Linked DNA regions of Mus musculus. The protein of the gene in region 1 interacts with the protein of each later gene in a pairwise test. Links are inferred from orthologs where the notes say so. Each region holds a gene or a part of one and is shown in the gene's direction. Other genes may lie near its edges.

Region 1 (4,277 bases):
GGATCACTCAAACTCACCAGCACACCTGTACCGTGGGGCTGGAGAGATGCTGAACAGTTAGGAGCACACGTTGCTCTTCCAGAGGACCTAAGTTCAGTTCCCAGCACCCACACGGTGGCTCACAAACACCCGCTCCAGATCCAGCACCTTGTGATGCACACATACAAACACGCACACAAAACACTCCTATATAGGTAACAGAAATATCTAAAAAAAAGCCTCACAAAACTTAGCTTCTTGTGCTTGCACCATCGAACACCTTACCAATGGTGCTATTCTCCCAACACCAATCAAAGACTCCTAAATGGATTTATTCCAACCTAGGGTCTCGCTCTCAGCGACAACGGCTTAGAAATGGAAGCAGAGTTAGAGTCTGGATTAACCGTTGCCCATACACGATCCTATTCTTAAGATATTTTCCCTCCATTATTAAATAGTCTGGGCTGCACAGGCTCATAAAACCAAACTGCCTAGGACAAGAACAGGTACAAGCCTGTAATCCCTGCGCTCCGGAGGCTGAGTAGGGGGAATCACAGTTTTGAGGTCAGCCTCAGCTACAGATGAGCCCCTGTCTCCAAAGAGGGTGGTCAAACGCTGTGGGTAGCTGGTTCTAAGGAAGAACCATAGAGTCTGCCCATGAAGTGAATTAAGTTCAGGTCGGATGGGAGTTTGGTAAATATACGCAGCCTTTTCAAGAACCTTTTATTTCCTCTCTAGAATGCGTTACCATAGAGATTGGTTTGCTTGCTGGGGAAAGAAAGCCCGGCTTTTACTTTTTACCGGCCTGACACTCTGGGGGTTTGGGGGTGGGTTCATCAGAAGGCAGGGACTCGAAAACCCGACTGCTTACTTCTCTGGGTTAGTTCAGTTGCATGCAGGTTCCTATCCACAAAACCACCACCTCTCCATTTACATCCTTCATCTTGTTTAGCTGGTCCATATGCCGCACTTCCTCTGAGTCTAGCCACTTTGTCAATCGAATACACCAGTTGCACAGGGCACATCCGACACTCGATCACTGCGGGAAGTCTTCCCTTGGAACTTGCAGGATCTAGTGTGTACCCACGCGCGCACGCGCGCACGGTTCTTGGGGTTTCATGCAACACCCTGGCTTCCATCAGGAGCTTTGAAAAGTCCGACACTGAAGAAACAATCGGTTCCCCCAAATCGTCGCACAAGCAAATCAGTTGGTTCTGAGATTGTGACTAAGAACCAGCTCCGACTGCGCCGCTTGTGTGTGCGTGTGTGTCGTCTACGTGTGTGGGGCGGTGGTGGCCACGGTGGTGTCTGTTTCAAGGCTCCCCGCCGGCTGCAGGAACCTTGCAGCTCCCCCAGACCCCCTTGCGCGCGCCCAGGACAAGCGCGGTCCGCGTAGCGCCGTGCTCGGGCGCGCGCACGCACGCACACACGCAAGCGCGAGGCCGCGCAGGGCCGGGCCGGCAAGGCGGCGGGCGCGCGCAGCTCGGGAGGCGGCGGCGGAAGCAGCGAGGGCGGCGGGCGTCCGGCTGCGAGCGCGGCGGCTCCGGGCTGGGCCAGCCAGGGGCGGCTCCTGGCGGCGGCGCGGCCGAGCGCTCGGTTCTACGGTTCCAGCCCGTGGTCTCCGGCCCAACGCCTGCGCCGCGCACTCGGCGTCCCGGCTCGGACCCCGGCGCCCAGCCCGTGGCCGTAACCTTGAGGCGGCGGCGGGGCCGGGCCGGGCCGGGCTGGGGGGCGGCGGCACTGGATCCGAGGCCGGCCGGCCGCTGGCGGGAGATGTCGAACCCCGGGACCCGTAGGAACGGCTCCAGCATCAAGATCCGTCTGACAGGTAGGCACGACAGGGCCGCGGCCCTCGCGCCCCTAGACTGTCCCAGGGACCCTGCGGACTCCCGCCCCGCCCCCTCCCCCCCCCCCCCCCTTGCACCGGCCGTTGTCCCGGGACCGCTGCACCCCCTACGGCGTGCGCCCCTCGCTCGCGCTCCCGGCCCCGCCCCCCGGGTGCTCTGCAGGCGCCGCCCCTGCCGCCCCGTCCCCTCCCTCTGCATCAGGGCCCGCCCCTGGCACATCAGGACACGCCCCGCTGCGGCAGCCCCGCCCTCCCTCTGCATCAAGCCACGCCTCTCCGATCTGCAGACTCGCCCCCTTAACTAGGCTCAGCCCTCGACTCTTCTGCAGACTCCCCCTCCCCCTCACAGGCTCCACCCCTTGACTACTTTGTAGCTTTGGCGACCCGCCCTATGGCTCCTCCCTCTGCATCATTCCCCGCCCCCTGCTTGCTCTGCAGGCCCAGGCAGCTGCCTTTTCTGCATTAAGCCTGGCTTGCTGTTCATCCCTCTATCATAGATTCCACCCCTGTGGCTGATTCTCTTGGCCCCGCCTCTGGCTCCTTTCTCTTCAGGTTCTTGCCTATCCCCCCCTGCCCACACTACTCTATCTGCCCACACCTACCATCAGTTGCATATGGGCCACGCCCCCTAGCTTTCTCCCTCTGCCCCTAACTTTACCCTTCTGGATCAGGTCCCGCCCCCTAGCTCCTCCACTACAGGACTCCCCCCCCCCCTCTCCTTTCTGCCCCACACCTACCCTCAGCTGCATATAGGTACCACCCCTCGGGGCCCTCCACCGGTCCCCTCTAGTGTCCTCTCTTGACACCGCCCCAGCACCCTCTGATCCACACCTACCCCCCTGCCTGCTTTTCTTCAGGCCTTGTACATAGCCACACACCTTTCAACTTCATGTAGATCCCGCCCCCTCGCTGCACCTCCACCGCTCTTTCCACCCCTACCTCACATTTTCATCATCCATCTCTTCACTCTCATCCTCCTTCTACCTGCTGTTCCCCTCTAGGCCCACCCCTCACCATCCTCCCGCCTGTCCCCTCCCTCTTTTCCCTTGCAGCTTCTCATCACTTCATCTCTCTCTCCTTTCTTTCTTCCCACTCTCTCACATGAACATTATCTACCTTCTCCCTTCTCTCTCTGGGTCCCTTCGAATCATCCCACCCCCTACTCGTTTGCCTTGCTTCTCTTTGCTCTCCCACCGCCTCACCCACTCCTCATCTCCATCTCTCTAGTTTCCCCTCTCCTCTCTTGGCTCCGCCCCCTCTACTGTTTTCAGCCACGCCCCCGTCCCTGCTTGATCCCGCCCTCACTTATCTTTCAGTCCCGCCCACTCGCTTCTGTCTTACAGCCTCCACCCTTAAGTCGCAAATTCCTCAATCCTGTCTGGGACCAAACGTCTGTCTCCCAGTCTTGTTCTCACTTCCCCCACCTCATCAGTGGTCCAGACCTCTCCAGTCTAGTCCACTTCCGTTCTCCCCGAGGCCAGGCCACTTAGTACTCCAGAGACGAGTCCTTGGTTCCTACCTCCTCTGCAATGCCTTCACCCCTCGCCACATCCTTGAGTCCCCCCTCCCACACAAGCTGAGCTGTGGCAGCTGCTCTAGTGCAAGGCGCCTTGTTCCCCTCAGTCTTCAGAGGAATGTTCAGGTTTGCTAAGTGCTCTGTAGTGCCACCTTCAAAGGTGAGCGCAGAGCTTGCTGTGGGTCTGACAGCAGCAGGGCAGTTTGCATGCAGGCAAGGGGAGAGCTCTCTGTCATAGCTGTCCCTCTTCGTGGGTCCGGAGTCTGGACCACTGCCCTCAGCTTCCTCTTTCTTTCTCCCTCTCCTTTCTCTGCAGACCTTACCAGTGTGAATCCATCCCTAAGGCTGCATGCATGGCAGGGTTGGCAGAGGGCCTGCTTTGGGGCTTTCCAGCTCAGAAGAGGAAATACATCGTTAAGTCTGAGGCCTTGCAGGGAGTTCCCTGGATTTTTCTGTTCCAAGGCAGTGTGTTGGGGACTAAGACTTCTGCTTGTCCTTTCAGGCAGAGCCTTAGGGTAAGACCTGTGATCATGGTGGAAATTCTTGGAAAGTTTCTTGTGTTTAAGAAAAGATTGATAGTTTTCCCTGAAGATGTGGGAGCAGATAACGGTGTTTGCACTAGAACCCAGACCCCGGTCATATTGGCCATCTTTGCCTCTGGACAGATACTGGAAGAGACTTGCTCAGTGGACATGCGAAGGGCATGTGTTAGTTAGGAAGTTAGGTTCTTTGACAGTCATCTTTGGGAAAGTTTGCTGCTCATTGACACTGGGCTATGACTTCAGATATGATCCAGGTTGCTTTCAGCCTTCCCGCTAAAGTGACTGACTTGGGGAGTTTCAGTAGAAATGAGATCAGTGGCTTAATTGTGGAATTTGTGGCAGGTATCTATTAACAGATCCTGGTCAACTGGTTAATTTTGGTATTGCAGACTTG
Region 2 (3,500 bases), on another chromosome or scaffold:
AGTTCAATCCCCCAGACCTACATAGTGGAAAGAAAGTACCAACCACATTGTTCTTAGACTTCAAACACACTAAATACAGAAATACAAGTAAAGAGCAAAAATATTTGGTAGAATAGAGGGAAAAGAAGAATCTAAAGGAATCAGAGGATGACTAACCTCTTGTCATTCTGTTTGTATATCCACCTTGGGAGACTTAAGTGAGGTCATCATAGAGTGGGCTGGGCACTGAGACCCTGGATTATGTATTTTCCTTGCCTATTATTTATGTTTATTTACTTGAGACATATTTTCACAATGTATCCCTGGCTAGCCTAGAACTTGGTATGTAAATCAGGCTAGTCTCAAGCTAGAAGCAATCTTCTTGTCACTACTTCCCCCGAATTAGGATTATAGGTATGAACCGTACCACCTGGCAGTATAACATTCTTTAAAAACAGACGAAAAAGAATATATATGTCTTCTGGTTTGCTGGTGTGGAACTTTAAGGCTCAGGTATTAAGTAATATGCTAAAATTATACTTAAGTGCCAGGTCTGAACTTCTATGAAATGCATTTTCTTTTTCTATTCTTCTCTGTCATTAACCTAGAGAAACAACATGGAAATTCTCAGTTGAGAAGGTTGTTGAAGGAGCAGAAATATAGTTTGCTTTTGGACCCAAGTTAAATCTAAAGCCAAGTATTGTCATTTAGAGAAGAAATAACTGATTGTAATTTATATCAGGTTTTCCCTTTTGCTTTTATTATGCCTTAGTCCAAATCATTTCAAAATTCTGATATGTGATATAGATAGGAATGACATAAAATTTCAGTAATGTGTTTTATAATATTTGAGTTGGAATTATGTGCCTGGGGCAAAGATAATTGCTGTATTAGTCCAAATGCAATGAACTATCTTTGTATTCAAAGAAAAGGTTACAGCTAGTGTACCAAAGTACCCAGTCTCTAAGTATGTTTTGGCCTGTATCCCTACTGGTGTTTTATGTGTATAAAGACTCTTGTTGAAGGCTGGTGTTTCTGTTAATCAGCAGTTTAGATTTCTTAACTGGTTTATAATTATCTTTTTTGTGCTGTTTCCTTGTACATAGGAAATGATTAATTGGTAAACATTTAAGGTTTATATTGAGGTAGGAGGAGGTGGCAGAAGTGAGCACCAATATTAGTCACTCCTAAAAATATACTTCCAAAACAAAACCAAAAGACTCAGTGTTGTGGCTTGGACTCAAGCTTTAATTAGATATTTAACAATGGCCTAAAGATTCAGGAAATGTTTGATACAATAAACTGAAATGAAACCCCGAGGAAAGTAGATGGGTAATACTTGTAGTTATTAGGTAACATTTTAGTAGACTGTTTATTCTATCAGATGTTTTATACAGAGGAGCAGAGCCTGTGCTGAGGTAGTTTGCTTTTAATTCCAGCAGAGGCAGGTGGATACCATGGTCTGCATAGAGAGCCTTTGGCTTAAAAGAAACTGGAACAAATACCAACATAGTCCTTCTCATAAATGATTGTATAAATTTACTTTGACTATAGTTTAGTGAATCTTTGTTCTCAATTTTTTGAGTCAGGGTCTCAATGTATAGCTCAGGCTGGTATCCAAAGCCTTTGATTCTTCAGTCTCTTCTGTATCTACAGTGTTGGGATTTGAGATGTATGGAACCAGTACAGTTTTGAAATGATGTTCCGGTCGGGCAGTGGTGGCTAACGCCTTTAATCTCAGCACTTGGGAGACAGAGGCAGGCCTGGTCTACAGAGTGAGTTCCAGGACAGCCAGGGCTACACAGAGAAACCCTGTCTCGAACCCCACCCCCAACAAAACAAACAAAAAACAAAAAAAGAAATGATTTTCTGCAGTCAGAGCAGCAGAGTTGTAATCCTAGCTGATGCATACTTAAGCATTCATGTGCATTGTGCAGTACTGAGGCTAACACTTTAATTCCCATTTAACTGTTGCAGTGACCCTCCTTAAACATGAATTGGTGTACCTGGTCAAGATTTTGGGGGGCCAGAGGGATGATTGAGACAGGGTTTCTCTGTGAAGACTAGGCTGTCTTCTAGCTCACAAGAGATCTGCCTGCCTCTGCCTCCACCTCACAAGTGTTGGGATTAAAGGCTTGTGCCACTACCGCCCAGTTTGTACATTAATAATATGGACGATCTTTTTAACTGTAAACCATGAAATTTACTTACTAAATATAAAACTTGGAAAAATTGTGTATAAGATGAAGATGCCAACATTATTAGTTATCGTGGTTAAAGGGTCATTCTCATCTTGATAAGTGTCTAAAATCAATACGATATAGTCATACTGTTCCATTTATCCAACCTCTCACTTATCTGGGGGTTCATTTTCCTTCCCCGACTAAGCCAGTTAATTTAGTACACCGTAGAAAATAAGTTTTAAAATAATCAATTGTTTGTTTCACTTTCATATTTAGGAACAAGTTCCTGTTCCCATCTATCATCCGACACCTAGCCAGACTCGGCTAGCAACTCAGCTGACTGAAGAGGAACAAATTAGAATAGCTCAAAGAATAGGCCTTATACAGCATCTGCCTAAAGGAGTTTATGACCCTGGAAGAGATGGATCAGAAAAAAAGATCCGAGAGTAAGTAGTAATTTTATGTATTTTAGAGATTTGTGTGTAGTTGTGGTTTTTTTTTTTTTTTCCTCTATAATACTGCAGACTGAACCTAGGACCTTGTGCCTGTGCTCCCCTCAGCTTTATTTTCAACTAGAAATGTCAGCTTTTGGAATTTGCTTTTTTCTCATGTTCTTAGGAAGCCTACGGAATTCTGTATTTGAAAACCTGAGTATAGCAATAAAGGAGAATTCCTGCATTCTGACCATTATAGTTGCTAGTTGTCTATTTATGACAGTTGATGATAGTTAAAACCATTTATATAAATGTGATATTTCTAATAGCTTTGTTTTATCAGTTTTCCAAGGAGTTTAAGCCTTTGTAAATAAATAGGAATTAAACCTCTTTTAAACTCTGAGCAAATTAATAGGAATGTTATACCCTCTCCCCCCCTACACACACTAGAGTTTTAGGCACAAGATTTTTACTATAGTCTTATTGAGGGGTGAAAATCTAAACTCTGTAATTGTAGAGGTATAGTTGTTTTAACTTTTCAGAAATACTTGGGGCTGGTGAGATGGCTCAGTGGGTAAGAGCACCCGACTGCTCTTCCAAAGGTCCGAAGTTCAAATCCCAGCAACCACATGGTGGCTCACAACCACCCGTAATGAGATCTGATGCCCTCTTCTGGTGCGTCTGAAGACAGCTACAGTGTACTTACATATAATAAATAAATAAATAAATTAAAAAAAAAAAAAAAGAAATACTTAGCCAGGCGTGGTTGTGCACACCTTTAATCCTAGTATTTGGGAGGTAGAGGCATATGGATTTCTGAGGCCAGCCTGGTCTACACAGCAATCTCTAGGACAGCCAGGACTACATAAAGAAACCCTGTATCAGAAAAAAAAAGAAAAAGTGA
Region 3 (3,190 bases), about 110 Mb from region 1:
AGGAGTGGGAAAGTCTAGGGTGTGGCTTTGTACAGAACCAGGGAACTAGAGGCAGTCATGTTAGATGCCAAGGGGCTCCTGTCCCAGTTGGTTTCCGCTCTCTGTCCCCCACTAGGTGGTGAAGTACCCTTTACACGCCATCATGGAGATCAAAGAGTACCTGATTGACGTAGCCTCCAAGGCCGGCATGCACTGGCTCTCCACCATTGTACCCACCCATCACATCAACGCCCTCATCTTCTTCTTCATCATCAGCAACCTAACCATCGACTTCTTCGCCTTCTTCATCCCCCTGGTGGTCTTCTATCTGTCCTTTGTGTCCATGGTCATCTGCACGCTCAAGGTGTTCCAGGACAGCAAGGCCTGGGAGAACTTCCGTACTCTCACCGACCTGCTGCTGCGCTTCGAGCCCAACCTAGACGTGGAGCAGGCCGAAGTGAACTTCGGCTGGAACCACCTGGAGCCCTACATCCACTTCCTACTGTCAGTCGTCTTTGTCATCTTCTCCTTCCCGCTGGCCAGCAAGGACTGCATCCCCTGCTCGGAGCTGGCCGTCATCTCCACCTTCTTCACGGTGACCAGCTACATGAGCCTGAGCAGCTCTGCTGAGCCCTATACCAGGCGTGCCCTGGTCACCGAGGTGGCTGCCGGCTTGCTGTCCCTTCTGCCCACCGTGCCTGTGGACTGGCGCTTCCTGAAAGTACTCGGCCAGACTTTCTTCACTGTGCCCGTTGGCCACTTCATCATCCTCAACGTCAGCCTCCCCTGCCTGCTCTATGTCTATCTCTTTTACCTCTTCTTCCGCATGGCCCAGCTGAGGAACTTCAAGGGCACTTATTGCTACCTGGTGCCCTACCTGGTGTGCTTCATGTGGTGTGAACTGTCCGTGGTCATCCTGCTCCAGTCTACCGGCCTGGGCTTGGTCCGGGCCTCCATCGGCTACTTCCTCTTCCTCTTTGCCCTCCCCATCCTGGTGGCTGGCCTCGCCTTGATGGGCACGGTGCAGTTTGCCCGATGGTTCCTGTCGCTGGACCTCACCAAGATCATGGTCACCACGGTGATCTGCGGCGTACCCCTGCTTTTCCGTTGGTGGACCAAGGCCAACTTCTCAGTGATGGGGATGGTCAAGTCCCTGACGAAGAGCTCCATGGTGAAGCTCATTCTGGTGTGGCTAACGGCCATCCTGCTCTTCTGCTGGTTCTACGTGTACCGCTCAGAAGGCATGAAGGTCTACAACTCCACACTCACCTGGCAGCAATATGGCTTCCTATGTGGGCCCCGGGCCTGGAAGGAAACTAACATGGCCCGGACCCAGATCCTGTGCAGCCACCTGGAGGGCCACAGGGTCACGTGGACAGGCCGCTTCAAGTATGTCCGAGTGACCGAGATCGACAACAGTGCTGAGTCGGCCATCAACATGCTCCCGTTCTTCCTGGGCGATTGGATGCGCTGCCTGTATGGCGAGGCCTACCCATCTTGTAGCTCTGGTAACACGTCCACGGCAGAGGAGGAGCTCTGCCGTCTCAAGCAGCTGGCCAAGCACCCCTGCCACATCAAGAAGTTTGACCGCTACAAATTTGAGATCACAGTGGGCATGCCCTTTGGCACCAACGGCAACCGCGGCCATGAAGAGGACGACATCACCAAGGACATTGTTCTCCGTGCCAGCAGCGAGTTCAAGGACGTGCTGCTGAACCTGCGCCAGGGGAGCCTCATAGAGTTCAGCACCATCCTCGAGGGCCGCCTGGGTAGCAAGTGGCCCGTCTTCGAGCTCAAGGCCATCAGCTGCCTCAACTGCATGACGCAGCTGTCACCTGCCCGGAGGCACGTGAAGATCGAACAGGACTGGCGTAGCACAGTGCACGGTGCCCTCAAGTTTGCCTTCGACTTCTTCTTCTTCCCATTCCTGTCTGCCGCCTGAGGAGCGTCCGCCGCTGGAGGAGGCTTTGGTGCATGTTGCTGTGAAGTCCTTCCGTGTGGCCACCCAGCCAGCTGGAGCAGCACTGTGCCGTGTGTGTGTGTGTGTGTGTGTGTGTGTGTGTGTGTATGTGTATTCTGCTCTCGTGTGGTTAGATCCCAGGCTCTCTGCTCACCTGTAGATCGCAGATCCTGCTGGAGGGTGGTTCTCTTTAGCACTGTCCACTTTGAATGCCGAGTGTCATAAGAAATTGCATGCTATCTTCACTCACAATCCTGCCCTTCCCTCACAGAGCTGGAACTCCAAGCCTGGCCCCAAAGACCCTCCATCACGAAGAGCACTTTACAGATAAGAATCTTCCTCCCCAGTTCTTCATGCCTCCTTCCTGCCCTTTCCTTACTTTGTGTTGGATTTGTTTTCCAAATATGTGTGTATGTAGACTTCATGGTAGTGTTTCTTATTTATTTGGTTGCTGCTAAGCCTTGACAGTGGTTCACCTTCCTGGGCTGTCCCCAGTGGTCACGTCCTGCCTGGCTTCCTACTTGGGTATAGCATGTCCAAACTGGGCTCTGAACACTACAGCCTGCCTTGGAGCTGGCCTATCTCTGGGGGTGTTAGAGAGTTTGTGGGGATCTCTTCTGAGTACCCCAGGACTTGGGAAATAATGCAAGAGTATCCCTTTCAGTACATAGGTAAGCTTGGCTATGTTCAATATGGCAGAGCCAAAAGCCAAGTTCTAAGGCAGCCGAAATAAAAAGCTTTGAAACCTATAGCCTTGCCTTCTGGTTTGATTACAGGGAGCCTTGTCTGGTTGTGTGTGTGTGTGTGTGTATGTGTGTGTGTGTGTGTGTGTGTGTGTGTGTGTGTGTGTGTGTGTTCACACGCGCGCTCGAGCAACATAGTATGTATGAACCCAGATTCAGTGAAAATGTGCCAGTTGGGTGACTGAGGATAGAACTGATATCCCGCACAGTTGACACCATCTGCTATATAGCTGATTGGCACCATCCAGGTGTGAGGGTCCCCGAGGTCGCAGCAGTAACAGCACATGGCTGTTGACCCTGGCCTTGGGGTGAAAAGTGCTTTCTTTGTGTCGAGGATCACTGAAACCCAGGTCACCAATTGGGTCGTCTGCATGAGTCACAGTCTGGGGTTTGTGCTGCTCTCTTCAGTCACGTGTGGTAATTCCACACGGGCATAATCAGGGTTTGTCATGGGGACTGGAAGAGTTATGGTGCTGGGCCGGTTTCATCCCTGTTACTGTGGCAAACA

What was found.
Region 2: the proteins of Smurf1 (region 1) and Rnf11 interact in binary tests that used the Homo sapiens proteins (3 or more experiments, as listed by UniProt). The link is inferred for Mus musculus from reciprocal best matches to the Homo sapiens genes SMURF1 and RNF11.
Region 3: the proteins of Smurf1 (region 1) and Wfs1 interact in binary tests that used the Homo sapiens proteins (3 or more experiments, as listed by UniProt). The link is inferred for Mus musculus from reciprocal best matches to the Homo sapiens genes SMURF1 and WFS1.

What each region holds. Positions count from the first base shown.
Region 1 is NC_000071.6:144,963,031-144,967,307, reverse strand, and holds the start of Smurf1 (E3 ubiquitin-protein ligase SMURF1), read left to right. Parts: upstream 1-1,477; 5' UTR 1,478-1,752; coding exon 1,753-1,807; intron 1,808-4,277. UniProt on the Homo sapiens protein: E3 ubiquitin-protein ligase that acts as a negative regulator of BMP signaling pathway. Mediates ubiquitination and degradation of SMAD1 and SMAD5, 2 receptor-regulated SMADs specific for the BMP pathway.
Region 2 is NC_000070.6:109,456,006-109,459,505, reverse strand, and holds part of Rnf11 (RING finger protein 11), read left to right. Parts: intron 1-2,438; coding exon 2,439-2,608; intron 2,609-3,500. UniProt on the Homo sapiens protein: Essential component of a ubiquitin-editing protein complex, comprising also TNFAIP3, ITCH and TAX1BP1, that ensures the transient nature of inflammatory signaling pathways. Promotes the association of TNFAIP3 to RIPK1 after TNF stimulation.
Region 3 is NC_000071.6:36,965,604-36,968,793, reverse strand, and holds the end of Wfs1 (wolframin), read left to right. Parts: intron 1-115; coding exon 116-1,921; 3' UTR 1,922-2,690; downstream 2,691-3,190. UniProt on the Homo sapiens protein: Participates in the regulation of cellular Ca(2+) homeostasis, at least partly, by modulating the filling state of the endoplasmic reticulum Ca(2+) store.